4 linked regions of the Caenorhabditis elegans genome follow. The protein of the gene in region 4 interacts with the protein of the main gene of each other region in a pairwise test. Each region holds a gene or a part of one and is shown on either strand. Other genes may lie near its edges.

Region 1 (7,952 bases), on a different chromosome or scaffold from region 4:
AAATGAGCGGAGAGACATTTGAAATGACATGACGATTTGCTAGAAGGTGACGATGAACACGACCTCCTGGTGAAGTCAATTTAACTTGAGAATAACGAGAAAGATGAATTAGAAATATCGGAGGAAGCTTCTTTTTTTATTGGAACGGACCAAGATGATTGCGAGACCGGAGAAATGACACAAATAATTGGAGTACTGTAGCCTTGCCCCCCTCTCGTTTGCTCTACTTTGGCCGCTTATATCTCCGCTATTTTTGAGTAAATAAAAAATTGTTGAACAATAAAAATGTAAACAGTTGATCTTGTTTTTAATAAAACTATAAAAACCCAAGATATATGATATCAAAGTAGAGCAAAATGGGTTGCGAAACTGAGAGAACTGAAGAAGAAACATGGTGCATCGGAACCCAAAACTAGTAGGAATTGGTGTCTTACTGATTGTTCAGATTATTTATTGATTTTTATTTATTCATTTGGCAAAAATCATACAAAAATCAGCTGTTAACAATAATTCCCAATTAATGTGTACACAGGCCATTTTTTACAAAGTTTTGAACCGCCTTAACTTTTTTGAGAAATTTTCAAATTGTCTCATTCAAAGTTCAGCAGTTTTGGGCTATTTGGAGTCTAAAAAGCAAATTCTCAGATTTTAGTTGTCCATCTTCAATGAATATTCCTATTATTTTTTTAACTTGCACTAACTTTTTTCACGTATTTTGTCAGTTGACTATTTTTGGATAAAGTCAAAAACTACCGAGATATGAGTTTTTGAAGTTGAGGAAGGGATTGCAAGTCAATTTAAAAAGAATTCCGTGTCCTTATTTAAAGCTACATACCGTTTTTCAAAATGTTTCAGTTGGCGCCAGGGCCTATATACAACTTGATTGAAATCAGCAGGAACTAAAATAGGTTTTACCGAGTTGCTTTACAAGCCCAAAAATCCTGGAACAAAATGAGAATGCTCAGAAAAGTTTTAAAAAATTCACGTTGATGAACAATTTTCCAGGCAGTAAGATGAAGCTTTAAATAAACTTGATCGAAACTTTACAAATGAACTGATTCTTGTGTGAATCCAAGGTCTCTCTCTCTCTCTTTTTTCAATCGTCACCGCCTCCTCTTCGTCTTTTCTACAGTAAGTATGCGGTTGTGTGTGTGTTTCTTTTGTGTCTGTTATTAAGAACCTGACGACCCCAGCCGATCATCCTTTATTACTTCTTCTCACTTCAATGCATCGTTATTTTCGTTTGGGTCCTTCCGTTGGGTAACTGTCTTCCTTTGCTAATTGTTGACACTTCCCGATTTGCACTTTATGGTGGATGGAGGAGAAGCTTATTTACAGATGCAGAAGCTTTTTAAGAGGGAAGGCCAATCACAAAATGTCCTCTTGGAAATCAATTCCGCCGTATTGATAGATCTCAAATTGTAGGCACTGACGCCTGGAAATGCCTAGGCATATGTTTAAGCTCAATCTTAGCCTTTCCGCTTGCCTCCTTGAATACAAGGCGACCAACGCCTACCTCCTTACCTACAAGTCGACCTACTCCTACCTCCTTGCCTACAAGGCGACCTACGCCTACCTCCTGGCCTACAAGGTGACCTACGCCTACCTCCTTGCCTACAAGGCTACCTACGCCTCACGGCCCGAGCAGTGGTACCTGTACGCAATTTGTCTACCGTATACCTGGACGTTTGGGCGCGTGTATCTCAAAAACGGTTGGTCCAGTTTTTTTGTGATGCATATAAAAAATGTCCGAAATTAAATTCTAAATTTTTTTGGACCAAAGCTTTTTTCGTTATCACGCGCCCAAACCTGGTCTACACTCAAATTATCAGTAGAGCGCATTTGCATGGATGTACCACTTGCCGGGCCGTGCGCCTACCTCTCTGCCTACAAGGTGACCTACGCCTTCCTCCTTGCCTACAAGGCGACCTACGCCTACCTCCTTGCCTACAACTCGACCTACTCCTACCTCCTTGCCTACAAGGTGACCTACGCCTAACTCCTTGCCTACAAGGCGACCTACGCCTATCTCTCTGCCTACAAGGCGGCCTACACCTACCTCCTTACCTACAAGGCGGCCTACTTTTTGCAGTTTTCAAGGTGACCTACGTCTTCCTCCTTGCCTACAAGGCGACCTACGCCTACCTCCTGGCTTACAAGGCGACCCACGCCTACCTCCTTGTCTGCAACGCGACCTACCGATTATTGTTCGCGGCCACTAGGTGGCGTCGCAAATTTCTGATTTTTCAGATGAAATTAAATTTTTCGCAGATTCATCCGCACTCACATCTTTGGAATGGTTTTTAAGCCAAAACAGCCTATAGACAGCATAGATCGACTCTTACCACGTACATCTGAAAGTGTCGGAGGAAAAGCTTGTTAAACTGGTAATTACTTTTATAAAAACAAAAAAAAGCGGATGACAAGAAAAAGGCACACAAAAAAATTAATGTGGACAGAAATGGCACATTATGGGGAAAATACTATTACTATATTATAAATAAGTGGGAGGGGGTCGGAGATCTATTTTCACTTGAAAGGGGAATAAAATTTAGAAAAAAATTAATGTGGACAGAAAGAGAGATCCGTTAAAAATCGCACATTATGGGGAAAATACTATTATGTTATAAATACGGGGGAGGGGGTTGGAGATCTATTTTCTCCTGAAAGGGGGATAAAATTTAGAAAAAAATAAATACTTTGAAGGAAAAATGAAATGTTGTTCCTTTCTTTTAAAAAATCGAGTCAATAATGATGGTACATGAGAACCTCGATTAATGTCGCTCATACGGATGGCTGCGGTGGTCCCGTCGGCGGTCATCTCCACAGCGTCCGTCAGAATCCCGATCTCGGTCACGCCTATTGGCTCGGTCATCCCTGGAGCTTCGCGATTTCGATGGGTGACGCTTTCCATCACTGCGCCTCGCGTAGCTTGTCGCATGAGTTTGAGGAGAGTTCATCTGGAAAAATAATTGTTTGGGAATGATTTTAAAAAAGGGTTTACAATAAGTTCTTCAGATAGTTAGAGCTCAAAGTTTTCAGCAGACCGATCTATATCAAATACTACCTTTTTCAAAAAAATCTAAAAATTTTGCTCCCTAGCCGAAATCTGAACATCACGAAACTATAAAAACGACCCGTACCCTTCTTTGAAAAGGAACACTTGCGGAGGTCGACGGTTCGTCTTCTTCAGACTCTTCCTTCGGCTCCAGCATGGCGGCGACCGACTGCGGTGGTGGAGTTCCGGCAGCATTTGGAGCAATCGTAGGAAGATTCCCTGAATCGACAACCACATCGTCTATCTTTTCTTGTTCCAGACGTTGCTTTTCTCTAATCTTTCTCATTTTTTCCAAATATAAATCGTTCTGCTTCTTTTCCCGCTCCTCCGCTGTTTCGATTTTTCGATTGGTTGGCTCGATTGACTCAAGAAGTGCAGCTCCGCGGTTTGAATTTGCTTTGGCTTTTGCGGTTCCTCTGCTTTTCACTGCGAATCGGTTTTTTAGCGCTTCCGTCGCTGAAAATTATCGATTTATTAAAGAAATGTTGCAAAAGATTTTAAAATGTAATGGGGCTATCCAAGTAATATCGGAAAATTAAAAAGTGTAGAACAATTACGTCACAACTGTATTCAAGTATATAAAAACATGTATTCAAATACATTTGTGACGTCACAAATGTATTGAAATACATTTTGCTACATTACTTGAATAACCCCATAAGAAACTAATAAGAAAAACTAAAAATTCGATTCAATATTTAGCATATTTCGAGGTTCTCTATTTTCAAAATCTTACCTGCAATCTCTTCAGCATCGGCTTCTCGCAGAGGACTCCTATTACGAGTGCCCGCATAGCCAACAGCAGTTCTAGCCTTTTGGACTGTATCCTGGACTCGTTGGGGACGGATATTATAGACTCTGAAAAAAATGCAGGTTTTTTGGATCCCGACACGAAAATCACCTACCCGGTTTGCACTTCATTGCGTTTAATTTGAGAGACCGACGTATTCAATGATGTCGATGCACGAGGTCGATCCGGGCGTGGTGGTGGAACTGGATCTTCCAACTCCAAATCCATCGGCTCGTGATTGGGAGTTGAACCACCGAAAGGAAGAGTGTATGCCGGTGCGCTTGGACCCTTTGACGGAGAACGACGCGTCGACCTAGTTTCTCTGGAGGTTGAAGACGGGGCTGGAGCCCTTGATGGAGCGCGAGCACCGACTGACGCTGTAGCTCTGGATCGAGACTCCAGGCGAGATGAAGATCCTGTTTGATGCCCTGCACGGAAATTAGCATTCATTGGTACAGTTGCACGACCTCTGGACCGGGAGCGAAGCTCGTAGTGGGAAGTATTTCCATTTTGAGCAGGTTTTGCATTTTGTCCGTAATGCGAATGAGTTCCCATTGGTGGCGATCGGCCATTTCTTGAACGATCTTGAAGTGGATCCGCTGGTGGTTGATAGCTTTGTTGACAATGAGTTTCAGCACCTCTGGACTGGGAGCGGTCTCTACGAAAATCGCCTCGAGGTCTCGACGGAGACCTATTATCTCTGACAGTAGCGGGTGCATCCTTTGCTGATGGTGGATTTGCATAAGGATTCCATCCTCCTCCAATTTGGTAGTTCTGTGGCTTCGGGTTGCCGTGAGGAGTGATGGGACGTGCAACATAGCCAGGAGTACGATTTCCTTGTGGTTGTGGAGCATAATGTTGATACTGGGACCTTTGATGATGTTGTTGGGATACAGACGGAGCATTGAAGAAGTATTCCGGCGGAATAACTGGCGGTGGCCGACTGAAATCTACTGGAAGTGGAAAGTCTAACAGCAGTTCTCGGTGATTTGTAGGAGCTTGTGTTGGTGGTGGCGGAGTTGGAGTTGTCGGTGCAAGTGGTGTTGAAGATCTCTGCTGTTGCGGCTGATGTCGAGTTTGTTCCTCTTCATTATCATTGTACAACGGTGTGCCGAACGACTGTTGCTTTCCGTGAGTGTTCTTATATCTCAGATAATCCTCAAACTCGCTTCGCGTCGCACCTACAATGAAAACGTTTCGGCAGCGGTGAGCATCAATCGTCTTCATGCGCTCTAGTCGAAGTTGCCGCATATTCTCGACTGTTCCTCTACATATTGCGCCGGTGGAAGGCGATCTGTGTTCCACAAGGTCCATGAAGTCGACCACTTGTTTTGTGCATCCCTCGCATTCGAACAAGTACACTTTCCTAAAATAAATACTAATGTTAAGCCTTAATTAATTTTTTTTGTTTTCAAGGAAGTAAGAGTCTTTGAAAACCAATATCTCAAAAATTGCAAACATTTTTCGGCGCCAAAACTTACGTGTGTATCGAAAAATGGGTCAGAGTGTCGGAAAATGTGCCGACGAAGTTACACTCATCGCCCCTCCGATTTTTCATGAACCGACATCTGAAGAAGTTTTTATTCTGTTCATAACTATCGGTTCTGCAAAAAAGCTATTTTTGTTGATGAAATATTCGCATTACTCACATTAATGCCTTAATATAAGGTTCCATATGCCGCCGTCAATTGATTGAGCTGAAAATTAGAATTGTGTTGAGAGCATATAAGGAAAAAAGAAAATTAAGACGGAGAATTGTGCAACTGAAAATATTCGAGAGGACCCTATTGTACACGTGGCATATCCATAAATATGTGCCACGAGCTGGGGAGCGAGGTTAAGGTCACGTTAAACATTTTATTAATTCGAATTTATATGGCAGGTTTCATAAAATTAAGTTGTTTTTCTCTTATATCCTAGACTTTTTAATAAGGTAAAAATCGACGAATTTGTAGCTTCCTTTAAAAATTAAAAATGTTATAGTAGATTACAAAAATGGCCAGAGTAGAGCGCATGTATGAATATTCAATGGTGGCGTCCGTGTTTTGTGTAAAATATTCTCATTGTGTACAATATTGTAGGAATACACTCAAAACAAATAGTGTTGCCTCGACATTTGCAATTTGAAAGTGTTACAGCACCCTTTTGATTTTATGAATATAGAAAAAATGTGCGAGAAAAATCAACGAGCGTCCCCGATTTGCCAATAAATCGTGGCAAAAAGGAAGAAAAACGAATAGATACGTGGTATGAGCGGAAGGAAGAGTTCGTTCGTCCTTCCAAAATAAACTGAGCTTTCTCTCTCTTCTACTCGGTTTTTATACCCGCTTTTTACGGGAGTGGATGGGCGGTGTGAAGCCAAGTGACGCGCCGCCGGTGCGTCACATGGCTTTTCCCAGTAACACGTGGTCTAGATACGAGCGGCTGCAGGGAACAAAGAAACATGCCAGGAATTCAATTAAATGCATTTGAAACCGGAATTTTCCGACCAAAAATTGTTTAAATTATTGAAAACGACAGAAATTAAATATTTGAATTTCGCCTAAAACAAAACAAAACATTTTCGTTGCGAGACCCACAACTCCAGAAAATGCGTGCTCCTTTAAACTAATTTCGCTTTTTCAACTGAATTAGCTGAATTTTGTGAATAATCAAAGAAAATAAGGAGGACTCCTTCCCCCGGAGGGTATTTGAGAGAAAAAAACAAAAAGTTAAATACAGTAACTGAAAAAACTCAATAAACGTAGATATTTAACTTACGAAAGAAAAACCTCCTCGCCTTGAATGTAACCTACGCGTGTCTGTGTTCATAAAATCCTGATGTGTATTTATTCATATTATTTTCTATGAGTTTGAAATTGAAATACAAAAATTTGTAAATATTGTATAATATTTACATTTCTGACCAAATCTACTCAATCCTCCTCCCCGTTCACCGCGTGCGCGATGACGTCTTCTCCAAACACTCCAGATGACGTAACATACCACCATTCTGTCATTCAGCAACAGCACATTATTATTTTCAATTGAATTGCCCACTTTTAGATTTATTTCTGTAGATTTTTCGGTTTTCAATTCAGTTTTTGCGAGAAATCGAGAAATGCAATTGCGCCCTGCCGCACTCTCAACGCGCGAAGCCATTAATTTGAAACGAACGCATCTTTTTTCACACTTTTCTGGTGATTTTCTCGAGATTTTTTGCTTATTATCTTTTTGAAATTAATAAAAAATAATTTTAAATCAATATTATAAATTTCAGATGATCATCGAAGACAACTTTCGGCAGGAATTCTACAATAAAATCAAGAAAGGCGATAAAGTGAGTTTAAAGTCATTTTTACTCCATTTTCACGTTATTTCTGCTTCAGAGTGTGGTTCTAATCGTTTCAGTCGACACGGATGCATTATGCACGACGATGATTTTGACGGTAATAATGCAATTTATTTATAAATCAATGATTATTTATTTTCTTTTGAACGGAGTAAAGTCTCCGCGTGAGATCGACAAAAATTATTCCACAAAAGATCCAAAATGGGATGAAATAGACAATATATGGAATTGAAAGTGCAAATGTCAGCCGAATTGCGATGAGAACCTCGAAAACCACTTTGCAAGTGATGCATACTGAAAATCGATTTTTTTTATTCAAAAAATATATTTATTTTCGTACTAACCGAACTGTCCTGTGTAAACATTATTGAATGGATACAAAAAGTTCCAGAAAGCGCGGATTCCGAGGTTTTGCTGTCCATTTGTGCGTAATTCGGAGTAAATGTTGTAAAAGAGCACTCCGAAGCACGCAGCGTCTGTGGCAAAAACTATAAGACAAAGGAAAATGTACTGTTTGTCGCCACTTGAATTATCCTGGAATTATTGTCTCCGGTTTATTGAAAATATTTCAATTTATCTTTCATTTCTGCTCACCAAAAACAGAGCCAAACAAATCGTGGTGGCAAGAAGGTCAAGGAAGACACAGATCGCTTTTTGACCCGATAAAAGTCGCATATTCATAAATGAACTCAATTTTATTCACATAATATTGAGAAAAATAGTCGATGGAGACAATAAGAGGGGGAGGGTGCAGAGAAAGAGAAGCGTACGAG
Region 2 (6,849 bases), on a different chromosome or scaffold from region 4:
TTGTACCCGTCAGTTAGAAACCGTTTGCAAATGTTCGACCATGTGTTTTTGCCCAAAAAACTTGCGCCATTTTGTTAGTGTCAAGTAGGTATATTTCAGTTGAATTTTTTCAAATAGATCAAGTAAAGGTTCAAGTTTCATTTGCAACTAAAAAAAAACTTGCACATTTTATTTTCTAGTGATCGATGAATATTGGCTCCAAAGACTTATTGAAAATGTTGGAATTCCTCACTACCTTACACAGAAAGCTTACCAACTCACTGCAAATGCAAAGGAACATGTCGACGAAGACGAGATTCTAACTCTAGACGCTTCGGTCCCAGACTATGCAAGACAGGTTTTCACTACACAGGTTCTGAGCACGGATGGGCTAAGTCAAGAAACTCTGCAAAACTCGACGGAAAAGTTCATGACAGTTGTGTACTTTGCATTTCGACCTTTTGGTTGTGATCAGGACGTGAGTTTTTTTGTTAGACACAAAAGAATCAAAAAGACGGAGCAAAAAAAAGCAATACATTAATCCTAACTTTCAGAACATCTGGCCAAGTGTTTACAATTTGACACGAGACAACCTCGACTGCCTGGCTTTCACATTGTTGCAAAGAATTTATGACAAATCAGAGTTTGTAAGTCACGGGAACAGGCATATGACACCTTCATGTGTTCTGTTGCGATGTGTTTTGAACTGGGTACAAGTTTCGGGTACTTCTAGGATTTCCACAGTTGAGTTGCTATGGAATGATAAAGCACACATCGTATCTGCTCTCGACAATCAGTCCTTTGTGCTCATTTTAGTCAGAAAAGTTAAACATTTTAGCCAAACACAAATATAATAGTATTTTTCATTTAATATTATATTTTAAACTTGATATTTTCAAATACCGAAAACCTTTTTTTTTCGTTGAAAGAAAACACTAATTTTACAGACAAGGAAGTACTTCGCACGAGCTATTCATTTTGGTCTTACCAGTACGGCTCCAATGAATCACAGAATTCATGAAATGGTATGCTCTGCATTTGAAAATCTCTACACAATCAAAACTCATATTTTCAGATGGTCTACCAATATCTCCTACCAACTCTTGACCGAGTATGGTTCAATAGCATGAAAATCCAATTTAAAAACAGTTTTTGGAATGAACAAGAGTATTCAAGAAAATCGACCTACGAAGATAACAGTTTTCTTTGTGGATCTTTCCCATTTTCAGATGAAGTCCAGGAGAAAATCAACTACTATTTTAACTCACGATAAAACAAAAAGCTTTTTGAAATTGTTATTCTCAATTTTTATTCATATATTTTTGAAAATAAATCACTTCCTGTAGTATTCTGGTGTATTTTGAATAATTGTGGTTTTCCTCAATTTAACAAATTACAAATAACAAAATTAAATACTGAAATACTTTGATGCTGAACTTCACTTCTCTGATTGTTAACATGATCTGAAATTAAAAAAAAAACGCTAACGGGCTTCCATGCAGACGCCAAAACGCCTGCCGCGCCTGTCTCGCGCCGCGAGCCACGCTTTTTGTTTAGTGCGGCGCAAAACCCGGAAAGGGTCGGGCGCGGTCAAAGAGGCGTGAGGCGGGCAGGTTGAATACAGGCAACAGGCCCTGCGCAAAAAAAAAGTTTGTATTGTTTGAAAATGTTTCTAATGTAAGGATTTTCTCCAAGATTACAATTTTGTGATACATAGAAATATTGAGTATGTTTTATTAGAATGTATAGTGTTGAAACAAAAATATAATACATTTGAATATGTTTAATGTGCGACTGTTTCTCCGACTTTGACATGTGACATATCATCCATCTGAAGAATCGACTGAAGCTGGTTCTGAAAACTTTGACTTTTGAAATAATTATTTTTCAAGCCTAACTTTGAGAATTCTATTTGACTCTACAAGGCGCTCGTTGGTGTCCTTCATTCGTTGCTCCACAATTTCCAATTCCTCCTCGCTTACAATTTTATCCGTTGCCAATTTTTTCTCCAATTGGGCAATCTGCAACATCCGACATACATTGCTTCTTCCTCCGCTAATTTCCATTTTCTCCCCCCCCCCCCTCCGTTTTTCCCCGATGGGTTTCTATTCATCTGTAGTAATAGTTTTCTTTTCACCTTTAGATGAAGCTCCTTGTTCTTGTCCTTTTGCACTTTCCATTCAGTCGTCGCCCGTGTTTGTTCGTTTTCAATGAACAGCGCTTTTCTGACACCTGAAAATTGAATCAATTCGGTGTGGTTATTGTATTTTTTTAGGCGCTAAGAAGTAGTCAGAATCCACACAAAGTTTTTTTTTTAATATTCTGAAATTGAAAACTATTAATTGTAACTTACCATATGCAATCGCCGACTCTAGTACATTCTGGTAGGCTGCAAAAGTCATTCGAATTTCATCACGAACGCGAACCAATAAAAGACCTCTTTCCACACAGGAGACACTGACTTGACGGATTAGCTCATCTGGAAGCAAAGAAGATTCACACACCTGTCTTTTTGTCAAAGGGCATCATTATGCGCTTGAAAGAAGACAAATGGGTCTTGGATGAATTGAAAAAAGGAACACTGACCGAAAAACTGGCCGTAAAGATCGCGTCGAATTGGGCATATTCCGAATGGTTTTGCTCCCCGGTCTTTTAACTCGCTTTCCAGTTTTTCCTCGAGATTTATCTGAAATTTTTTTGAACGTACTTCTAACATTCGTGTTTATATTTAAAAAAGAGGTTTAAGCATTTGGTTTTAACTATTAACAAGTTACCTTCTAGTTTCACAAATATCTAAATATTTTTCAAATTCACACCAAATTACCATGTCATGTCGCGTAGCAGGATGAAGCGACGCTTGCTGTTTCCATAGTTTTCCGTTTTGTTCGTAAACTCTACAAAATGTGTCTTTCATGATCATAATTCTGTTTTTGTTTTCTGGCTTAAGCTGCCAATTTATCAAATTACCCACCTCGGCGGAAGTATACAATCAAGAATAAGCTGTAGCTGGTGTTCACTTTCAATGTGATCGTCTTCGCCGCTTTCAATGATACTTTCAAACGTGACATTGGTTTCTCCTTCTATTTTTGAAGTTGTTTCCTCCTGAAAATCAGTTTGTCAATTTTTAATTTTTCTTGATGTGACATGTTTGAAGTGAAAATCATAAGCATGTGAATAAATCTGAAATTAACCTCAACCGCATATGATTTTAGCTGTGAGAAAGTAGTGTAGCAAAATTTAAAAGAAAAACAATTAAAAAAAAACAGTCTTTGTGTATTGATTTCGCACAGTAGTTGAACAATTAGATTCAAAACCAAAATGTGTGAAAAAAGCAACAAATTTGGGCTTTTTTTCCAGAACTTTGTTTTGGACCATTTTGGGTCTAAAAACACAAAGTCTCAGATTTTGGTACTCCACTTTTAACTTTATTAGAAATTAATTAAAATTTGGACTTCTATACATTTTTGGACAACATTACTAAAGATAAAATAGACTTACTGCAAGATTAACTTGTAAAAAAATATTAGAAGGAGTCTCAGTTGAGCCGAGAATTGTTGAAGTCAGCGAACTTTCAAATTTTGGTTTTTCCAATGCCATTTTCCGTCAGAGTAATAAAAACGTTTGAAGTTAAAACGCTTTATATTTTATAGAGTTTACCAAATTTTGAAATAAATGCTTTTGTGAAGTCGAACTATTTTCGTATGAAATTCAACGACGTTTGAGCTCTGCCTTTCCTTCGTCTTTCAACAGGATGTTCGCATCAGTTGCATTCATGATTTATTCCTAAAACGCGTTGAACCATGTGGATTGAAAATTGGACTGGTGTAGTTGATCTTATCAGTGAGTTAATTAGCTAAGCATACTACCAAGAAAAAAGTTGTCTTCCAGGTTTTTTTTTACAAATATCCTTACACTGAACAAGTTGAGAGAAAAATTCAAAAATTATTGTCTAAAAAGTGCGCAGCTCGTTCAACATTTTTTGTTGAGTTTCAGATTTCTTGTTTCTATGGCATGTTGGGATGAAATTCCGAGTCGAAAAAACATTTCCAATGATTTAACAAAAAGTTTAACCTTAAATTTTCCAAAAAGTTTAACCTTAAAATTTTGAGGCAACTTAACGGCTCATGAAAGTAGTGAAAAATTCAAACTCAATATATTCTGGAACTGAATTTATTATAAATTTATTCAAAAATTTTAATTTTGTATCAAAAAGTGACCTTGAATACTTTTCCTGGAATTTGGGTTGTATCTTTTTTTTTTTTTTTTTTTTTTTTGTACGTTGTACTTTTTGGTTGTACGTTATGATTTGGTCTTACTGTAATCAGTTGGTTTTCCATAGTCTCAAACTTGTTTGCTTGGTTATAATAACAACTGTAATACACTCATTACAAGTTTAGGTATGGACACTCCAACTCCGGACCCATCGATGCGTGAATCAAATACACCGTCGCCATCTCCGAGCCGCCGACTGCTCCAAACGTGAGTATAATTGTTTATTAGAGCATGTTAGAATGCTAAACAAGAATTCTGGAATAAAGCAATTGGGGGCAAATGAATCGAAAGTGAATGCAGTCTGCGACATGCAAAAGTCATTCCAATGCAACGTTTGCAGCCTGGGAACCTTGAAAATGTTGCGAGAGTGAGAAATGCGCTCAATCATTATCATCTTTTTTCTGTCTTCATATGTCAAACCACTGACACCCGTGGACTTTTTGTTTCGCTAAACAACTCTTTCTTGCTATGATTGTAATGAACAGCTAGCTTGTCTTTTTGACCCGACTCTACACTGCACTCAGACTCCAATCCCACTTCGTAAATTGACTGTTGCCCTCTTCCTATAAATCGCTGCTGGATTCTTGTGGTCACACATGACTGCATTCGAATTCGGAGCTGAGCAATTTGCCTTCAACCAGATCACTGGCGGAAAGGCGGAACTAGCTTCTTTGCCAGTTATTCATTCATTGGAACTTTGAAATTTTTGTTTATTAGAACTAACTAGAGAGCAAATAAATAACAGAACCTCCTTAAAATGAAGGATCTACTGACTGTCACGGGTTTTACGAAAGAACGAAGATGAGTTTTTATTTAAGTTTAAAAGTTTGGTCGATCGAAATTACTACAGAAATTTGAGAAATCCATGTAAAGTACAAACAGTTCTCAAAATGATAATCATAGTATTACTTGCTACTTTTTACCTAGACGGGGTGTAGTACTCATAGTATTTAGCAATTATGGCAATTTTAAATTACCAAAATTTTTGTTTTGCGAGATTTATTTTGTTATTGACCTGTTTTGTTAGCATTGAGACAATCGAGAAAAATTACGATAAATTAAAAAAAATGAAAATGTATCTTTTTTTCTAGGTTTATCTATTTGCCAAATTTTGCAATTATCGAATTCCAAACAACGCAAGCTTTCTATGAGTTTATAGAGCTTTTCTATATTGTCCTGAACATATCAGGAATTTATTGCGTTTTCAGAATTGTTTAATCTTTCCTGAATATTCAAACACTTCTCAAAAGTTTATCAAATTTTCAAAAGTTTCTAGAACTGTTTGAACAGTTGGCAAACTTACCAAACATTTCCTCTAACTTTCGAATTTTACAGAAAATGTTTGGAAAAATCATTCGATTCAAATTCGGTCCCTTTTTTTAAACAAAATGTTGTTGCTTCTTCCGAAACTGATTAAGTTGTTGAAATGTAAATTTTGCCAAAATTTCTAAAGTTTAAAATCTGAAATTTTGAAGGAATGAATAATCAATTGAAAAGTTGCTAACAGTATCAGCAATACATTGAAAAAAAAAACAGAAAAGTTCGTTATGTAATTATCATAAAAGTGGAATGTTGTGACTTGGGCTCCGGAGAGTCGGCGCATCCCAACTTTGCGGATGTATAGTTAATTAATTGGTCAGAATCACCCACGATCCCACAATTAACATCCGCCGCCGAATACTCACAATATCTTCCGTATTCTTCCAAGAACATTCGCTCTAATAATCATTTAATAAACAATTATTATTTGAATTTGCCGCCAAGCAATGCAGGCGCGCTCCACGGACAACAACGGAGTGTCGTAGCGCGCTCTCTTTAGCCATTGCTCACATTAATTATTGGCCTAAATTTGATGATGCAATTATCGTCACTCTCCTCCGATTCTCCCATCGTGTGATGCCGTACTCCTTCTAATTAATTATTATTCGACTCCTGGCTGCCCTGCAGCACATTCTCTACGTTTTTCCTGATCAATAAACAGGTTTTTATTCGTACTAATTGTTCTGTTATATTCACACCGCTCATCCCTCCTCTCGTTCCGTCCGTCGTCTTTTTTGTCACTCCGAGGTTCTGGCTATCTCTCGGATTGGAGTGTCAACATGGTGCACCGAACCGAGTCGGATTGGATCCGATGAACGAACCAAAAAGCCAGCTCGTGACACGGCGGGACCTGAGGAAGCGGCAAGCCAGTCGGAGGAAGAGGTCAGGAGCCTAAGCGTGCAATTACCGCTTGGAAGACGCGCCAGACGCGTGGAGTCGATTCAGGAAACCCTAAGCGTGGCTCAAAACGCTTGGAAGACATGCCAGCCGTGTATAGGAAATCCCAAGCGTGGCTCAAAACGCTTGGAAGACATGCCAGCCGTGTATAGGAAATCCCATGCGTGGCTCAAAACGCTTGGAAGACATGCCAGACGTGTAAAATCTACCACTGAACCCAACTTCATCTACGATGTCATCGGCTGCTCGGAAGATCCAGGAAATCGTGCCCAACAGCTCAATTTATGAAGAAATCCCCGCAAGCTCACTCAACACTCAACTGATGGTCGACAAGCTTCCCAATTGCAGCACGGATTCAGGAATGCGCACCTAGCCGCAGAA
Region 3 (7,675 bases), on a different chromosome or scaffold from region 4:
AAAAAATTGAAAACCTCAAAGTTTTTTGCATTTTTCAGAAACAAATTTGAAAATTTCTGATTTTTGGCATTTTTCCTGGGAAAAATCTAAAAGTTTCCCAGTTTTTAGCATTTTTCTATTTTTTTAAAAATTAAAAAAAAAACGATTTTTGAAGAAATCCAAAACATTAGAAAATTTTTTTAATATTTCTAGAAATTTCAAGTTTTTTAAAAAAGATTTTCAGTAAGCAAAACCTCACCAAAAACCTCCGATTTCATTCGAAATTGTTCAGTTTTAATACAAAATTCCTCAAAAATCTCGTAGCTCGGCTCAACATCAGCATATTTATCATAAAGCCGTCGACGATCTTCTCGTGAAATCTCATCACCAATTAAAACACTATCAATGACAGTTTCTGGATGTCTTGGACACATCCAATAGAAATATGCACGAACATGAATAAGTGGAGGTGTTACACATTTTTGATGCCATATCAGGTCACAAAAGTCACATTTTAGCATTCGTGTCCAGTCGTCTTTTCTGCAAAAAATAATTGGAGTTTTAAATTATATGGTAGGCAGGCGCGGTTTCAGGGCCTGATGCCTGCCTACCTTTGCTTATTTTCTGCATTTTTAAGGGAATTTACAAATTTCTAAGTTTTCTCATTCTATCAACTAGTTGATTTGAAGTTTTTCCGAAAGTTTTTTGAAATTTTTAAGAAAATTTTTCGGAACATTTTTGAAATTTTTCCTCAACTACAAAATTTATTTCAGAAAATTTACAGAAAATTTTTTTTTTAAATTAAAATTTACTTTTTTCAGAATTTTTCAGAAAAAATATTGAATTTTTCTTAACAATTGAAAATCACATAATATTCGAAAACTATATGTTATTTTTCTTCAATAGGTAATTTCTGTCTTTTTCAGGTGATTTTTTGATTTTCAAAAAAAAATTAAGATTTTAAAATCTTGACTTTTTGAATTAGCTAAAACTTTTTTTCCAGAAAAAAAACACATTTTTGATGCCAAATTAGATCACAAAAGTCACATTTTAGCATTCGTGTCCAGTCGTCTTTTCTGCAAAAAAAATAATAATTGGAGTTTCAAGAAGGGATCAAGGGTGCCATTTTTCGATTTTTCGATGTTTTTCAGTGAAAATCGAAACATCGAAAAATTGAAAAAAATGTTCAGAAAATTAACCATAAAATTCGATTTTTTATTTAATTTTGCTTATATTTGTAAGAAAAAAATCCAAATTTCTTCTAAAAATAAGAATAATGTCCAAAATGTGAAGCTAATTTTTGGAAAATCGGAAAATCGAAAAACGAAATTTTTTGATTTTTGATTTTTCTTTTTGATTTTTCTATCGTGTTTTTCAGAAAAAAATCTAAAAGTTCAGATTTTGAGATCATTTTAAGAATCGAAAATGATTTTTTTTGAAGAAAAATTTCGGATATTTTTCGAGAGAAAATCGCTCAATTTCAATACTTTCTGGTAGGAAACTCCTCTTTTTTTTGGCACTTTAGGTCCATTTTTGCTACGAAAACGTACAAATTGCACTCAGCACACACTTCTCCCATTATAGTTGGCCTCTTGTCTTCCATTGCATCACCAGAGAAACAATCACGATCTGCTTGGAATTCCGGTGGTATTGTATACTGAAAAATGTTGGAAAAATTATTTATAAATGTTTGGAATAATATCTAGGTTTCTCGAGAAAATTATTGTAAAATTGGAAATTTTTGAAGGACACAGAAATAAAGAATTTTCACAAAAACTCGAAACAAGAATTAAAAAAGCGTTATTTTTAATATTTTTATCGGAAAAATGGTCTCAAGAACGATAATTTTCAGGAAAAAAGGTCGAAAATACTCAAAAATATTTGTACATTTTTCTGCAAATAAATTGTGTTTTTTTCTGTTTCTATCCTATCCTACAGTGTTAAAAATCCCGATTTTTCTAATTTTTTTTTCACTTTTTTCCCGAAAATCGGATCGAACGCCGAAAATTTCAACGTTTTTCGGGAGAAAAAGTGTTTTAAATATTTTCTGCTAATAAAATTTCGCATTTTTTAAAACTATTTTTATCGAAAATTAAAAAAAAAAATTAAATTTTAAAAAATCCAGAATTTTCGATTTTCATTAATTTTTCAATTGAAGCATTAATTCATTTTTTTGAAAAAACTCCCTTACATCCATGGGATTAGCCATTCCAAGTGCTTTCAGTAGATTTTTATCCCGAAAACAGTCTTGAATTTCTGCAAATTCACTTTTTGGCCCATAAGCAACATCTTTTTTCATTTTCTCGGCCTGTTCCTCATCTCTAAGTCGATTACAATGATATTCAATAGCTTCCCAATTTCGGTGATTTTCATTTTCAACTCGGAGCACTGGATTTACAGACGGCGAGCACTTTTCCGGTGGAAAGAGCCGAACGTTTTCCGGAAGATTTCTACATCGATTACAGTAAAAATTGTCGTCTGGAAGATCGGATGATTCGTATCCAATACAAGCAAGATGAAAGGATGCTGGACACTGTTCACAGCATAGAATGTTACCGCCGGACTGCAAAAAAACATGGAAAATTATTTGGAAATCTGGGCATTTTTTTATTGAAAATTTATGAATTCAGTGGAGAGATTTTTCTAAAATTTGGGATTTTTTTTTCCAATTTTGCAAAAATAATATAATGAGCCTAAGCCTACGCCTAAGCCCAAGCCTGAACCTAGGCCTAAGCCTAAGCCTAGGCCTATGCTTTAGCTCAAGCCTAAGCCCAAGCCTACGCATAAGCCTTAGCCTAAGCTTAAGCCTAAAGGCATAAGCCTAGGCCTAAGCTTTAGCTCAAGCCCAAGCCTAAGCCCAAGCCTGAACCTAGGCCTATAATAAATTTTTAAAAGGGAATTTTTATTCTGAAAATGCTAAAATCATCAAAAATTCGAATTTTGCAGCTCTTTTGGACTAAAAACTTTTTTAAAAAATCAAATAATTTCAGCATTATCTGGTTTTTTTACTTTAAACTCCAGTTCTGAATCGAAATTTTCAAAGATTTGATGATTTTTTGCAATTTTTCTGCCTTTTTCAGGGAAAAATTAGTTTTTTCCAATATTTTTCCAAATAATCAATGTATTTACAGAGCAAATTCCGCATATTTGAGCTTCAGGCCATTTCCATTCTTCCTCCACTTGCTTTTTCTTCTTTCCAGACCCTCTCGCCGACAATTCTTCGGAAATGTGGTGTGGAAAACCGCAAACTCGGCGAATTTCCTACAAAAATTTGGAATTTGAGGCGAAAAAGTGAAAATTTGCCAATTTTACCGGCAGAAGACCGTCGTTTGAGTCGTATTTCAGCTTTCTTCGGCCTTCTTTCTCTTTTTTCTGCATTGATATTTTCTGAAAACTAAGAAAATCAATGAGAAATGATTTTTTAAATGCATTTTAAATTAAAATATCAAAGAAAAAATGAAAAATCGTCATAGAAATCGCAGAAATTCGAATGAATTTTCATGAGAAGCATGATGTCTAGCTGTCTGTGCCCTCCTCGATTCACATACTATTTCTTCGTAATTCGCAATGGAGCGCAGTTGCGTCAAGCCGAAAAAAATTAGGTTTTTTCCTATAATTTCGGAAATTACGGATAAAATCTTGATTTCTTAGGGGAAATTGAAGAAAATTCATAAAAATTTATAATTTCACGCATTTCTTTGAATTTAATTTCAGATTTCAGGTAAAATTTCAGATTTTCAGAGAAATTTCCAGCGGCTAACTTGAAAAGAATCACTATTCGCACCTTTACAGCCATCTCCACAGTCACAATCGGCATTGTAAACCATCGGCAGTCCTATTCGAACCCTAAAACTCATCTCCACTTCTTTTGTCGGCTATTTCCGGTTTATGGCCTTGTTTTTGGCTTGTTTGGAAAGAAAGAAATAATTTTTGTTATGAATATACTTTTTTCAACAGAAAATTGGAACAAAAGCGAAGGAAAACGAGGAAATTGAACAAATAAAAGATTTAAGAAAATTAAACAATAAATAAACTACAGTAATCATAAGCAGCATGGACAGAGTTTCGGCGAGGGTCTCGCCACGATGTTATAAACGGCACATGCGCCTTGAACAAAGTGTACTGTAGTTTTAATTTTAGAAAACTTTTTTAAAAAATTTTTTCCCAGTTCTTCCCAGTTTTTTGTAGTTTTTTATCTTGGTTTCTGTCAGATTTTCCATTAAAAGTATTTTCAATTTTTTTAAAATCATATTATATTTGATATATCACAAAAAATGTAGTGAGATGATGTTGTGTGGTACCTCTGGGTTGAAAAAATGAATTCAAGCGGAAAATAAACAAAAATAAGCACATTTTTAGTACCCAGAACCGCTATTTACTGCTCCTCAATTGAAAATAGAATCAAAATCGCAAAAAATAACCTAAAATCTTAAATTTTGTTTACTTGTCAGTGAAGTAGCTGTTTTTGCATACTTTTTGTGTTTTTTTGGTACATTTACGGTCGATATGTGTGCACCACACACCTGCCAACTTTTGTGCATCTACCAAATTATAATAGGTATACCTTCCATCAACTACTGCAACTCAGACAAATGGACAAAATTTCAGATTTCGAGCACATTTTGGGTCTATAATCCTCTATAATCCAATTATTTATTACGTTTTTCGTCAAAAATTCGAATTTTGTATAAAAAAATCTTATCTTTTGCCCAGATAAAGCTCCAAAACAAGGCAATAAACATCTTAATCTTCAGCCCATCACAAATCAAATCCTTTGTTCTTTCAATAGACATCTACACGTTGTAAAAGGTGCTAATCCCGTCCTTCGACAAGATAACCATCTCTCGAGACGCTCTGTAATTCCAGCTCCGCCTATAATTAGGTGACACCCCCTTCCTCCTTCTACCTGACCATGCATCCAATTAGTCAGTCATTGTGTTATTCTTATTCCAGTCTCTCAAAGTATGTCGATGTATTATTTTATCCGATAAAATCGACATTCTTTTTTTTATTTCGATATTTCCTAGAATTCTCAAATTTTCACTGTTTTCTGCAGAAATTAGCTTTTTTTTTCTCACTGAAATTCACACTTTTTTTTGGATTTTTCCAAATTTCGAAAAATAATTATTGAAAAATCACCGAAAATGTTTGGTTCTGAATTGAAATTTTTTTAAAAATTCGAAAAAACCTATATTTTTTTGGGGAAAATCTTAATTTTTTAGCTTTTCTCTTCAAAAAATTGGCAATTTTCAATTTTCTGAAAGCTTCAGAATTTTCCAATTTTCCTAAAATTCCTTTCTGGTCGTATTAAAAAAACGATTTCCTCGAGTTGCAGAAAAAATTTTTTTCCGAAGTAAAAATTGAAATTTTCTCTAAAACACCGAAAAATTGGAAAAATTTTGAATTTTTGAATATTTTTCTGCAGAAAAAGTTGCATTTTCTCGATTTTCTCTCCGAAAAATTGAAAAAATGGCAGTTTTTGATTTATTTGCAACTTTTTTAAAATAATTTTTAATTTTTTTCCGTTTTTTTTCCTGATTTTCAACAAAAAATCCTTCTTTCAGACACACACTCTACACTAAAATGTCGTCGCCCATCTTCTATGGAATTCTACTATTATTGGTGTGCTCCGTGAGCCCGGTCATCTCTGAAATGTGGCTCCACGTGAATGTTCTCTCTGTGGAACGGAAACCATGTCCAATTGATGAGACCTCATGGGGTACAGAGACTAGTGGATGTGCAACTATGAGCTATATGACTGTGAGTTTTGGAAATTTATAAGATTCCTTGAAAAATAGTCCAAAAGTTTTGGAAAAAAACATAATTGGTTAATTTTCGCGCTAATTTCAGAGTTTTTACAACCAATTTTGCCGAAAAAGTCAATTTTCCTTGAACTTCGCGTCAAAAATATGTTTTAAAACACCATTTTTCCCCGAAAAATCTATCGCAAAATATACATCTTTGCCATAAAATTACTCGATTTTTGGTTTTTTTCTTTGAAAATTCAAAATTTTACTTCTTCACTGCGACCCAAAAAAAGCCCAATACAATGGTAAAAAAGTTTCGAAAACAAATTCCAAAATTTCAAATTTTAGCAGAATTTTTGGTAGTTTCGGGCCATTAAAGGAGCGCGGTTTAGTAGATCACTTTGAAAAAAAATTAATTCAGTATTTTCCAGCTCGACGAACGAATCCTTCCCCACCACGAACGTCGTTCATCAAGTTTCGAGTATATAAATGGAATCGCTCGACCTACAGTAACCCATTGGCCAAAAGGACGATTAAATGATTGGATGGTATCTATTCAATTTGTTTCAGTGGATCCTGTATATGGATTGGCTAGAACTTGTGATCGATCTGGATATATTCGGGTTTTCCAGAATTCTACTGGGGAAACGCCAGAGTTTTTGGAAAGAACACTGCAGGTTAGAAAATTGATCTAAATTTCAGATTTTTCAGGCAAAAAATTCGGAAAAATTCGGCGGATTTTGTTGTGAATTTTAATTAAAAACCTAGTTTTCGAATCGAAAAAAAAGCTAGAATAAAAAAATTCTTATAAAAAATTCGAAGCTAGCGAAAAAATCAGATTTTAGCTGAAAAAATGAAATATTTCAAAATATTCCAAAAAAATAATGGCACGGTTTTTCCGCCTTTTTTTTGCAAAATTCACAAAAATTCGAATAGAAAAACAAGATTTTGATATTTAATTGAATATTTTTATTTTATTTCGAACCTTCTTGCTAAAAACCCCATTAAAAATTGAATTTTAAGTCTAATTTTGTTCCAAAATCCCCAAAATTTCCAGATCCAAGGTCAATGCTTCATGTCAACCGTCAAAGTTCAAGCATCCAATACAGTATGCCCATGGTGTGTAGATGATTCACAAACAACTACTACAACTACAGTAACCCCAGCACCACCATCCACCACGTTTTCTCCATTTTTCGGAACTTCGAACAACACCTCATTGCTCATCGGAATGCTCATTCTTGCGTTTTTCTCTTTGCTGGCTCTCACATCGACTACCGTACTCCTCTGTGTGTATATTAGTGATCGAAAGAAGCCTGAGTTCTTTGATATGCCATTGCCACAGGCAAATAGTACTGTACTTGGCGGGAGGAGGTAAGGAAATTCACATATTTAGATTCAAAAATCGAAAAAAATCAATTTTCAGTAGCGACACGGGCCTCTTCACCACAAAATCATCATCAGAACGTTGGACAGAATACGGATGTGAACCATGGTCATCATTCCAACCATTTAATATTGATTCAACATATAATCCACCAAGAGAGACGACATGTGTCTATAAAGTTACACATCGGGAGGACGACGAATCAAGTGATTCCGGAAATGCGTCACTATAATAATTTTTTAATTTTTTAAAATTTCTCCCAACAGTTTTCATAAAATTCTAATTTTTTTTGCCACAAAATTTAATCAGATCTCTAATTTGTATTCTTCTTGTGATATAATACTGCTCATTTGATGTATGTTCATCGTAAATTAAACTAAAATTTTTATTTTTTATGATTTATGTAATAAATAAATTACCGGCTCAGTAGCGGTTTTCTTGGCCCAATGATTCGAGGAATAATGGGATAAAAGTTAGGTGTATGCTGGAGTCTCAATGGAGAACTTAAGGGAATTAATAATACTGGGGGGGGGGGGGGGGGGAACTTGGGAAATAATAAAAC
Region 4 (9,359 bases):
TCTTATCAGTTTCACTTTTTCTTATTTTTTTAGTTGTCAATCTCTTGCTAGTAGTTCCCTGATTTTTGAAGAAAAAAGCTCGTCCCAGAAATCTTGCAGAGCTGGAAAATCATTAAAATCCATATTCCTTCTTTGGAAGCGGTCATTTTCAAAACTTGTATATCGATTATATCTTCAAATTTTAATTTTTTAAAATCATTTTACCCAGTTGTAAACAAGTTTTTCATGAACAAATAAAAAACAGCATGAAAAGCATAATCTTGGTAGACATAAGGGTTAGAATTTTGCCTAAAATTATAAAAATGGACCGAATAAATTCAATAATGTAAAAAAAATGAACAAACATTTCTCAAGTTTTCAGTTTTCCATAAAAAATTATAAATTTATGTAAAATTATCGATTTTTAGACCAATTTTGAAGATTTTCTTTCGGGTTATCAAGTTTTCTTTACGAGAAAATGTCATAAATTTTTTTGCAAAATTGAAAAATCATTGGTTTTTTTTCTTGAAATTTAGAATAATTTTATAAATTTTTAAACACTTTTTTAAAATTCGACCATTATGCTCCATTTTCTAGCATTTTAAGCAACCCCGTCTTTAAAAAGCTGCATTTAAATTATATTTAGCTTTAAAACTCTTTTTATGCTAGGAAAGTGAAATTTCGTTAATCATTATCCAACAAATGCTCTCTGTCGGGATAAAATTTAACTTTTCCAATTGTTTTCCAGATTTTTCCAAGTAGCAACCCTTGAGTGTGCCCAATCATTATGCCTATCCACACACACAAACATTAAGTAGTGGGTAGGCTAGAGTCTTTCATGCACAAGCAAATATACACCGATTCGTCTTTTTTCCCTCTATCTGCCACATAGATAAAAGAAAGAATAACCTTCTCCTCCCCCACAACACCACCACCACTAACGGCGTCTTCTTCGTCTCAGTTTTCTTTGCTTTACGTAATCTACGTCTTCTATTTTTTCGGGGTGCTCTCTTCGGTTGGAACTATGTGTGAGAGTAGTGTGTTTCGTGTGTCTGTGTGAGTTTTTCCTCATCTTTCTCTCTCTTTTCGCGCGGAAAGAGGGCGCCCGAGGTCGGAGAAAAAAAATGAAAGGCAGAGAGGATGGAGGACACAGAGGAACGAAACGAAAATAACTGAATCGATACATCTGTGGGGTTGGCGGTGTTGAAGAGAAGAAGACGAAGAAGAAGATGAGGGGGTGGAGCTCTCCGTGCACAACGGCTTCTCCTCCCCCATCTTTCTCTCCCGTGCTTCTCCTTTTACTAGAGTCCGGCGTTGTGTTGTGTGTGTGTGTCCCCGCCTTTTTCCGGAATACGAAAGTAGGTCTAGTTAATGGTTAACTACCTCTCTTGCTCCGAAGCAGGCTTTTTCTTTAATTGCTTCTTGCAACTTTTCTGAAGCTCTACCTTTCTACTGGGAACTTGTTTTCTTTGAAATTTAGAGTTTTTAAAACTTCCTTCAGTTCTCATTCTCATGCTTTATAACCATAAAAGTGTACATCAGAATAAATCCTAGATCATAAGATCATTCACATTAGCATTTCTTTTTGGAATGCTTTTTCCGAGAAAACTGCACTTTTGAGGATTTTATCTTCGAACTGAAAATTCGAGTTGTACTTTTGAAAAAGTTTGTAGCGATCTACCTGATGTCAGTTTTATTTTAGATTTCCTGCACAGTTTCTTTCATGAATTTATAATGTTCAACCTTTAGTTCTCTCAGTTTTAAGGTTTAATGCAAAGTTTTACATACAGCCTGAGGGTCTGTGGATTTTTTTGTTTTAATTGATAGAAAATACCAGATTATACCTATGAAAAATAGTTTTTAAATTTCAAAATTTGATGAAAAATCCGAAAAAAGTGCCAAATTTTGCTTATAATCGAAATTTTTCTAGAAAACCGACCAAAATATACAATAAAGATAAATATTTTGATTAAAAAAAACTGTATTCCAACTGCTGAAACAAGGGTGGAAATTATTTTTACACTTTTTAATTTATTATTACAAAATCATTAGAATTTATAATTTTTCAACAGTTTTATCTGATCTTTAAGTGGTATTTTCTTTCATTTAAAATAAAAAATCCACAGGCGAAACTCCAAGAATTCAAGAAGCTCATTTTATCGAAACTTTCAAATCTTGCTCACCGTGATTCCCAAGTGTTTTAAATCTAAAGGAAAATAAGTCTGGTTTTTGAATATTTATTTTCAGTTGTTTTAATTATCAATTAATTAACATGTTATTCCGAATCTAAAACTCAAAATTTTCAGAAAAATGTCGTTGTCGGGGTTACGTAAGCAATTCAACAAGGCGAATCAATACCTTTCGGAGACGATGGGCGCCGCAGAGCCAACAAAACTTGACGATGTGTTCAATGAAATGGAGAAAAATGTGGATACAACGTATAATTTAATTACGGATCTCGTCGCCGGAACAAATGAATATCTTCAACCAAATCCAGCTACTCGAGCAAAAATGGCCACACAAGTTGCCCTGTCAAAAGTTCGTGGAACTACAAAAACGTCACCGTATCCACAAACAGAAGGAATGTTGGCTGACGTCATGCAGAAATATGGACAACAATTGGGTGATAACAGCGATTTGGGAAAGGTTTGCCATCCCTTTTGGAATTTTAATTTCTGAAAAAAAACCCATTTTTTAGCAACATTTGTCAATATTTGTTCTGTGAGCAATTTCTGAAAATGTGACCAAAATACAGCAAAAATAAAATTACTATTTATTTTGTTTATATTAATAATTTAATTGAAACATTAGGTTGATATTAGAAAACCACTACTTCGGTATTTTTTAGATTAAAATTTTTTGCACGGCTTCAAAATCTTCTTAATCATAATTTTAAATTACAATTTTTTTCAATTCCAGAGCCTAAACGATGCTGCAGAAACGTATCGACAAATGGCTGATATCAAGTATCAAATGGAGGATAATGTTAAACAAAACTTTCTCGATCCATTAACACATTTGCAGAATAATGAGCTGAAAGATGTGAATGTAAGCTTTTTTGCGTAAAAAAGGGTTTATTATTAATTCATTATTCAGCACCACCGCACAAAACTGAAAGGACGTCGACTTGACTACGACTGCAAAAAGCGTCAGCAACGACGTGATGATGAGATGATTCAGGCGGAGGAGAAGCTGGAAGAATCAAAGCGACTCGCTGAAATGTCAATGTTCAATGTGCTTAGTAATGATGTGAGTTTTACGATTTTTTTTTGGAAGTTTTTACTATTTTCCCCTATTAGACTTGCTATTTGACATCGGTTACCCTTAGTTTTATTTTTAAGAAGGATTATTCTCAAACTTACGAATATAACAAAAGAAAAACGGGAAAAATCCGTTAAGATTTCGAATTTTTATGTCAGAAAAATCAACGAAAAACCTTCAAAATTTAACTAGCGAAATCATAGGCCACGAGGATTGTTCGAATTTTGATCCTGTTCTATACTATGTTTTTAATCAGTATTTTATACAATTCCTTTCAATATAAGCTGTCAAAGTTTAATTTTTTTTTAATCTGCTGAAATTTTTTTCCACTTCCCCTTTTAGATATAATCACAAAAAAATTCTTTTCAGGTCGAGCAAATATCTCAACTACGAGCCCTCATTGAAGCCCAACTCGATTTCCACCGACAAACAGCCCAATGTCTCGAAAATCTACAGCAACAACTTGGCCATCGAATCAAAGATGCAGCTGCCAGGCCTCGTGAAGAGCATGTTCCATTATCAGTTCTTGCAAATGAGAGCAGAACTCCAAGATCCAGGTTGGTATAAGCATGAAGAGTGAGAAAATGCATGTTTGTTGTGAGATTTTGAACGCTCAAAAAGACCTAGTTTTTAAAAAACAGCTAATTTCTTGAGATGCACTTTTGAGATTCAGCTGAAATCTCCAATTTCGCCAACATTTTATTGAAATGGAGCTGCCCCAAAAAGCTGAATAAACTACCAAAAAAAATGTTGAATATTGGAGGATTAATTGAAATTTCGGGCCGCTGTGGCACGGAAAAATTGGCAAAATTGAAGTTTTTTAAAGCTAAATTTAGATTTTTGTTTTCTTCTCAAAACTTTGAAACGCCATGAAAATTGTACGAGAAGTTAGAATAGAATTAGTTATTTTTAAGAAATTTTGAATTTTGAGTACAGAGATTATTTCATAAATCTACCTGAAAATTAGTTTTTTCAAAAGATACGAAAAAATATATAAAGCCGGAACTAGGCGTTTTCCATTTTTGTTTTCGATTTAAAAAGGTCCCACGCATCATAAAAAGAGAAAACCCCCTGTGCTCTTAAGAAACGGAAAAAGCACTGAAGCATCATTCACAAGTAATAAAAAGGAGGAAAACATATGAAGCACAGACATAGACATGCAGAGTCTATGATTGATTACATCGCATTATGTCTTTTTACGGCCGGAGGAATACTTTTTTGGAAGGAATATGAATGTAAAAAGATCGTTTAATGACTGATTGACACGAAAATATTGAAAAATTGAAATGTTTTCGGTGTTTTTTAAGCTAGACTAGTTTAAGTTTTTTTGAAAGTTGAGAAATTTCAAAAAAAATTATTAAAAGAAACAACGTAAATTTTGATTTTTGATTATCTTTGAAAAAACCGAAAAATTGAAAATTATTCTACGACACAACCAAAAAAACATTCTAAATTTAATTTTAAAAAAATAAGAATTAAATTTCGTTACAGTACCCCCCGCTACAGTACTCCCTGATTCATATTGTGATTGATTTTTTATTTTTTGCATGCTAAAAGCCTCTTCCAAAACATCTCTTCAGTTTCAGATCGCCTGCTCCATCGGATATGAGTCACAATTCTACGGCAGCCGCAGCCGTACGTTTTTTTGTTTCAGAAAAAATTGAAAAAAGTGCGACTTTTCAACAAAAAAAACACGAATTTTGGAGATTCAGTTTTTCGGATTTCAATTACTGAAATTTTTTGGAAAATGGTATAATTTTAAAAAAACACTTGTAAAAAGACCGGAAAATGTTTAAAAAATGTTTTTGAAACATTTATTGAAAAATCAAACTTTTCAGATATTTTTCGAGACGAGAAAACTGAAAATTCTTGATTTTTCAGAAAGCCGAAATATTGATCAATTTTCTGGATAAAATTAACCAAATATTTCAATTTTTTAGTTTTTTCTCATAAAAAACATATAATTTTTCTTTAAAAAAACAGAAGTGTCTAAACTTTTAAAGAAATTTTTCGCAAAATCAATTTCTATTCGAACCGACAAAACTAAAAATTTAAAAACGAAAATTCCAGATTTTTCGGTTTTCCGGAAATCCTAAAAATCGGAAAAATATTGGGAAAATTGACAAAAAATTTCAAACTTTTAAAAATTTGGTTGATGAAAAAAAAAAGTCAATTTTCTTCTTAAAACGGGTAAATTTTCTCGAAAAAAAACTACAAATTAAAAAAAACCAATTTTCTAAAGTCGAATTTTTTGTTTGTTGAAAATAAGTTACTTTTATAAGAGAATTGTGTATTTTCCCATCAGCATAAAAAATTTGAAGATTGAATTTTTTAAATCAATTTTCTAAATCGAAACTATTCGTTTTTCAATTTTTATTTTAAAAAATCGAAAAAGCGATACCCTTGATTAGAATATTTTGTTTTTGAATAAAAACCTAGTAATTCAATTTTCAATCCAATTTCTAATATTATGTCCAGTTTAAGATGCCACCACAAAATGGAGGAGGAATAACACAAGCACCACCATCATATCAAGGACCTCCACCAGGTGGACTTCCACCTCCACTCTCCCAGCAGCAGAAGCCACAATGCAGAGCTCTATTCGATTTTGATGCTCAAAGTGAAGGAGAACTGGATTTCAAAGAAGGAACACTGATTGAGTTGGTATCACAAATTGATGAGAATTGGTACGAAGGACGTGTGAATGGAAAAACTGGATTATTCCCTGTTACCTATGTACAGGTTCTAGTGCCTCTTAAATAAAAAAAAATGTATTTCTCCCTCCAAAACCCAGTCAATTCTTTCCATTTTTTGCTGTTTTATTGCCAATTTCTCGTTTTCTCCCCAACTCCAAAGCCATGCTCCTCATCTTTGTCTCTTGAATTTTATTTCACAAAAATATTTTATTTCCCTTTCCAAATCTCACTTTTTCTCTAGGAACCCCTGAAAAGTACTCATTTAGAAGAGAATGGGCTATGGTCTCTATGAGGCTAAAATAGTTAATTCTCCTGATCCATTGTGCCGAAATCTTTGTATTTATTAAAACACTACTTGCTTTATATACATCCACTACTTTCCCCCAGTCTGCCACACCCGATGCGTTTTCCAATAGCAATACCCTGACCCACATTACCATGTATTCTATGTACTCTCTACACTACCAAAAATGTGCATTTATCAAATCTCCCTTAAAATAGCAGCATGTTATTAGTTTTTTTAGCTTTATTTAGTAACTTATTTTCAACATCAAAAAATTCATTGCAAAATTACTTATTTTCGTAATTACTTATTTTCGAGTATATGAATTTGATTTTAAACTATTTTTTTTTTGAACTCGGAGATGGAAAAAAGTCAAATTTCTTGTCTTATCAATTTTAAAATTGTTTAAAAAAAGAAGTGGATGAACAAGAAAATCAATAAAAAACTGAAATGAAAACGAAATTTCGAAATATCCGGAATATTATATTGTCCACGAGGAGTACTGTAAACAGACACCCAGTTATGTTATTAGTGACGTCATATACTTGCACCATCTGCTCTCATACCTGTGCACCATATATCTCATCGATTTTTTTTTGAACATGAAACGAATGCAACTATCATTTCGTCCATTTTCTTCACTATGGAATTCAAATCGAATTAAAAAAGGTAGAAGTTGTTCCAATCAGAAGAAGGTAAATTAAATTAATTTTTATTTGTTAGATCAAAAACTATAAGTTTCAGAAATGTAACTCTTTCAATCTACTCCAACTACCATACCTAGCATTTCGAATTGTTATTCATCAATTAAGTATTTTTTCAGTGTAAGTTATCCCGTGGTGTCAGACTGTCCCATTATGGTTTGATCTACAAAAAAGGCGGGATTTTTTTGCCCAAAAAATGTGACGTCAGCATTTTTTTAACCATGCGAACCAGCATGGGACAGCCTGACACCACGTGAGTTATTCCAACATTACATATCGTACACCCTTCAATGTTAGTTATAACATAAAATCACATAAAAATTACGGACAAATCGAGCGAGAGTGAGATCAACTACATTAAAAACGTTTTAATTTTAATTTTGGCTGAATTTTTTTTTAGAAAATCGCAGTTTTAATAGTTGTATTTTCAATTCTTTCTCGACGCTCTAGAGTATTTGAACAAAATCCCAATCTACAGTGTTACAAAAGCCAGTCTGAGACAAATACTGCCCAGTTACGGAAATTCGTGATTCTTGACCGGTCTCGGCACGAACGAAATTTGTAGCCACTGTACCCAACAAGAGTTTCGCAATTTGCTTCGCTCTTTTTCTTAAAGGTTTGCCCAAACAATATGGTTGAGCCCCCGTAAAATGCCACGCGATACTGGTAAAATCTCCAAATTATTGCTGGTACGGTAGCTGCTAATTTTTGGTCGTTTCGAGACGCGGTGACGTAGCGCAACTGGATAATAGAGCAAAAAGCAATATTTTTCACAATTAATTAAACAATTAAGAATACGATCAGTTCGATCAGTTCAGTTCTTTTAATTCCTAGTTAACCTTTTTTCTCAAGTTTTTACTTTGGAAATACATTTATATTTGTTGATGTTTCAGATTACAATTATCTCAAATTTCAAGAAGAACTTTGAAGAAAATACAACAAGTGAATCGGAAAGTTTATAAATTATTGGTCTACAACCATGAATTCACGCCTTATGGTGGCCAAGAACATCTTAAGACTTATTCAGTTCGGCAACTCGTTGTTATCGAGAACATAAGTGATTATCAAGAATTTTATGATATGATGTGGTCACAAACTACTGTATCCTATAGATTCTTGACAACTCCTCCGGTGACATATTGGATCCGAAGCGTAATAAAAGAGTACGTTTCATCTTGAATTATGTCTGAAACTGATTCAGTTTCAAGTTGTTGAACCTCGTTTCCACCGGGAACGGAGGACTCAAAGATGGTTCCCAAAGACTTAACACTTCTCCAAATATGGAATTTACTCTTGAGAATACATTACATACCGTATATCCTCTATTAGTATGGCGCCTCTATTAGTTTTGCACCCCTTCATTTGTTCCCTATTTTTAGGTATTCAAAATTTGAATTATAAACTCGTTCTACAAATCAGGAAAATTCTTACAGACTATGGTTTAACAAGTAAAAATTGGCAAAATATGAGTAGAACTCGGACAATTTTTGCGTATTAGTCGTAAAATTCGCCCACTTTGGTTTATAAGTTATTGAAATTGATGATATTATGCTATAACTTGATGGAAAACATGAGAAAAAACCTGTTCGAAAATTAGTTTTGCACCCTCCATTAGTTTTGCATCAAATTAGGTGTCAGAAAGTTAGTTTTGCATGCCTTACTAATAGAGAAAATACGGTATATGTTATAACCAGGGCTTCCATGTAGGCGTCAAAACGCGTGCCTGCCTGATCTTATTGTTAAGGCGATCTTCGCCTGCCTCTCCCGTCAGTCGCGCCTTATGCTAAAACATCAAAATAATATAAATGATAAACTTAGAAGTTTGTAAATTCATGTTAAAATTCAGATAAGAGACGGATGGCCCGTGTGGGGCGAGCATGCCTCAGGCAGGCGTTGGGCCTGAAACCAAGTTTGCATACCATGGAAGCCCTGGATATAACAAACCCATTTCAGTTATCCCAACATGAAGCTTAACGGAATATCATATATGTCGTATGAAAACAAAAAGGAGCTCGAACACTATTTGAATGTATTATATAACACATTTTCGATTGATCATCTCGACCTTATGACGGATCGCGAGAAGATTTTTGGAGATTACAGAAAAGTTTTTAAACATCCATTGTTTCGTAAATGTCATTATGTAGAGTTTCACGAGCCTTCCAAGTTTTCAACAAAAGATTTGGAAAATCTGCAGAAAATGTTTGATTTGCATAAATTTTATGCGCGATGTGATCAGAAGAAACATTTCAATTTTCAAAAGGTAACAGTTCTATCCTATGTCATTTGGAAACTTCTGTTTAAACTAGAATTGTTATGTTTAAACTAGAACAAAAGTGGATTTTTTTAAAAATGTTTGAAAATTTTTTTGTGACGAGCTAGTCAAAACATAAGCTTTTGAATTTTATGCTTTTTTTTTTGAAGTCTAAAACTTCT

Evidence for each region.
Region 1: the proteins of unc-57 (region 4) and F34D10.4 interact in a two-hybrid assay, tested with the Caenorhabditis elegans proteins (one large-scale study listed by BioGRID).
Region 2: the proteins of unc-57 (region 4) and dyla-1 interact in a two-hybrid assay, tested with the Caenorhabditis elegans proteins (one large-scale study listed by BioGRID).
Region 3: the proteins of unc-57 (region 4) and athp-1 interact in a two-hybrid assay, tested with the Caenorhabditis elegans proteins (one large-scale study listed by BioGRID).

Annotation. Positions count from the first base shown.
Region 1 is NC_003281.10:3,734,195-3,742,146, reverse strand, and holds F34D10.4 (C2H2-type domain-containing protein), read right to left. Parts: upstream 5,546-7,952; 5' UTR 5,524-5,545; coding exon 5,498-5,523; intron 5,453-5,497; coding exon 5,330-5,452; intron 5,215-5,329; coding exon 3,964-5,214; intron 3,917-3,963; coding exon 3,795-3,916; intron 3,515-3,794; coding exon 3,144-3,514; intron 2,961-3,143; coding exon 2,775-2,960; 3' UTR 2,382-2,774; downstream 1-2,381. Other genes in the region: F34D10.3 (Serpentine Receptor, class E (Epsilon)), read right to left, coding at 7,301-7,473, 7,524-7,713, 7,774-7,854; evl-18 (Cell division control protein 45 homolog), read left to right, coding at 7,108-7,167, 7,217-7,276.
Region 2 is NC_003284.9:16,837,832-16,844,680, reverse strand, and holds dyla-1 (DYnein Light chain, Axonemal p28 type), read right to left. Parts: upstream 3,644-6,849; 5' UTR 3,577-3,643; coding exon 3,478-3,576; intron 3,082-3,477; coding exon 2,951-3,081; intron 2,874-2,950; coding exon 2,804-2,873; intron 2,666-2,803; coding exon 2,566-2,665; intron 2,459-2,565; coding exon 2,333-2,458; intron 2,212-2,332; coding exon 2,117-2,211; intron 2,001-2,116; coding exon 1,878-2,000; intron 1,835-1,877; coding exon 1,763-1,834; 3' UTR 1,708-1,762; downstream 1-1,707. Other genes in the region: F41G4.8 (uncharacterized protein), read left to right, coding at 180-457, 534-626, 927-1,004, 1,055-1,252.
Region 3 is NC_003281.10:10,878,052-10,885,726, reverse strand, and holds the start of athp-1 (PHD-type domain-containing protein), read right to left. Parts: upstream 3,962-7,675; 5' UTR 3,764-3,961; intron 3,367-3,763; 5' UTR 3,358-3,366; coding exon 3,292-3,357; intron 3,241-3,291; coding exon 3,109-3,240; intron 2,543-3,108; coding exon 2,171-2,542; intron 1,637-2,170; coding exon 1,530-1,636; intron 520-1,529; coding exon 239-519; intron 1-238. Other genes in the region: C44B9.3 (C2 domain-containing protein), read left to right, coding at 5,632-5,739, 6,158-6,403, 6,784-7,100, 7,153-7,345.
Region 4 is NC_003279.8:4,672,850-4,682,208, forward strand, and holds unc-57 (Endophilin-A homolog), read left to right. Parts: upstream 1-2,285; 5' UTR 2,286-2,289; coding exon 2,290-2,625; intron 2,626-2,898; coding exon 2,899-3,027; intron 3,028-3,075; coding exon 3,076-3,228; intron 3,229-3,609; coding exon 3,610-3,797; intron 3,798-4,820; coding exon 4,821-4,875; intron 4,876-5,718; coding exon 5,719-6,003; 3' UTR 6,004-6,558; downstream 6,559-9,359. Other genes in the region: T04D1.2 (F-box domain-containing protein), read left to right, coding at 6,822-6,914, 6,964-7,043, 7,817-8,086, 8,877-9,186. UniProt on the Caenorhabditis elegans protein: Involved in synaptic vesicle (SV) recycling in neurons probably by regulating clathrin-mediated endocytosis. By controlling SV endocytosis, regulates the rate of excitatory postsynaptic currents (EPSCs) at neuromuscular junctions and thus locomotion.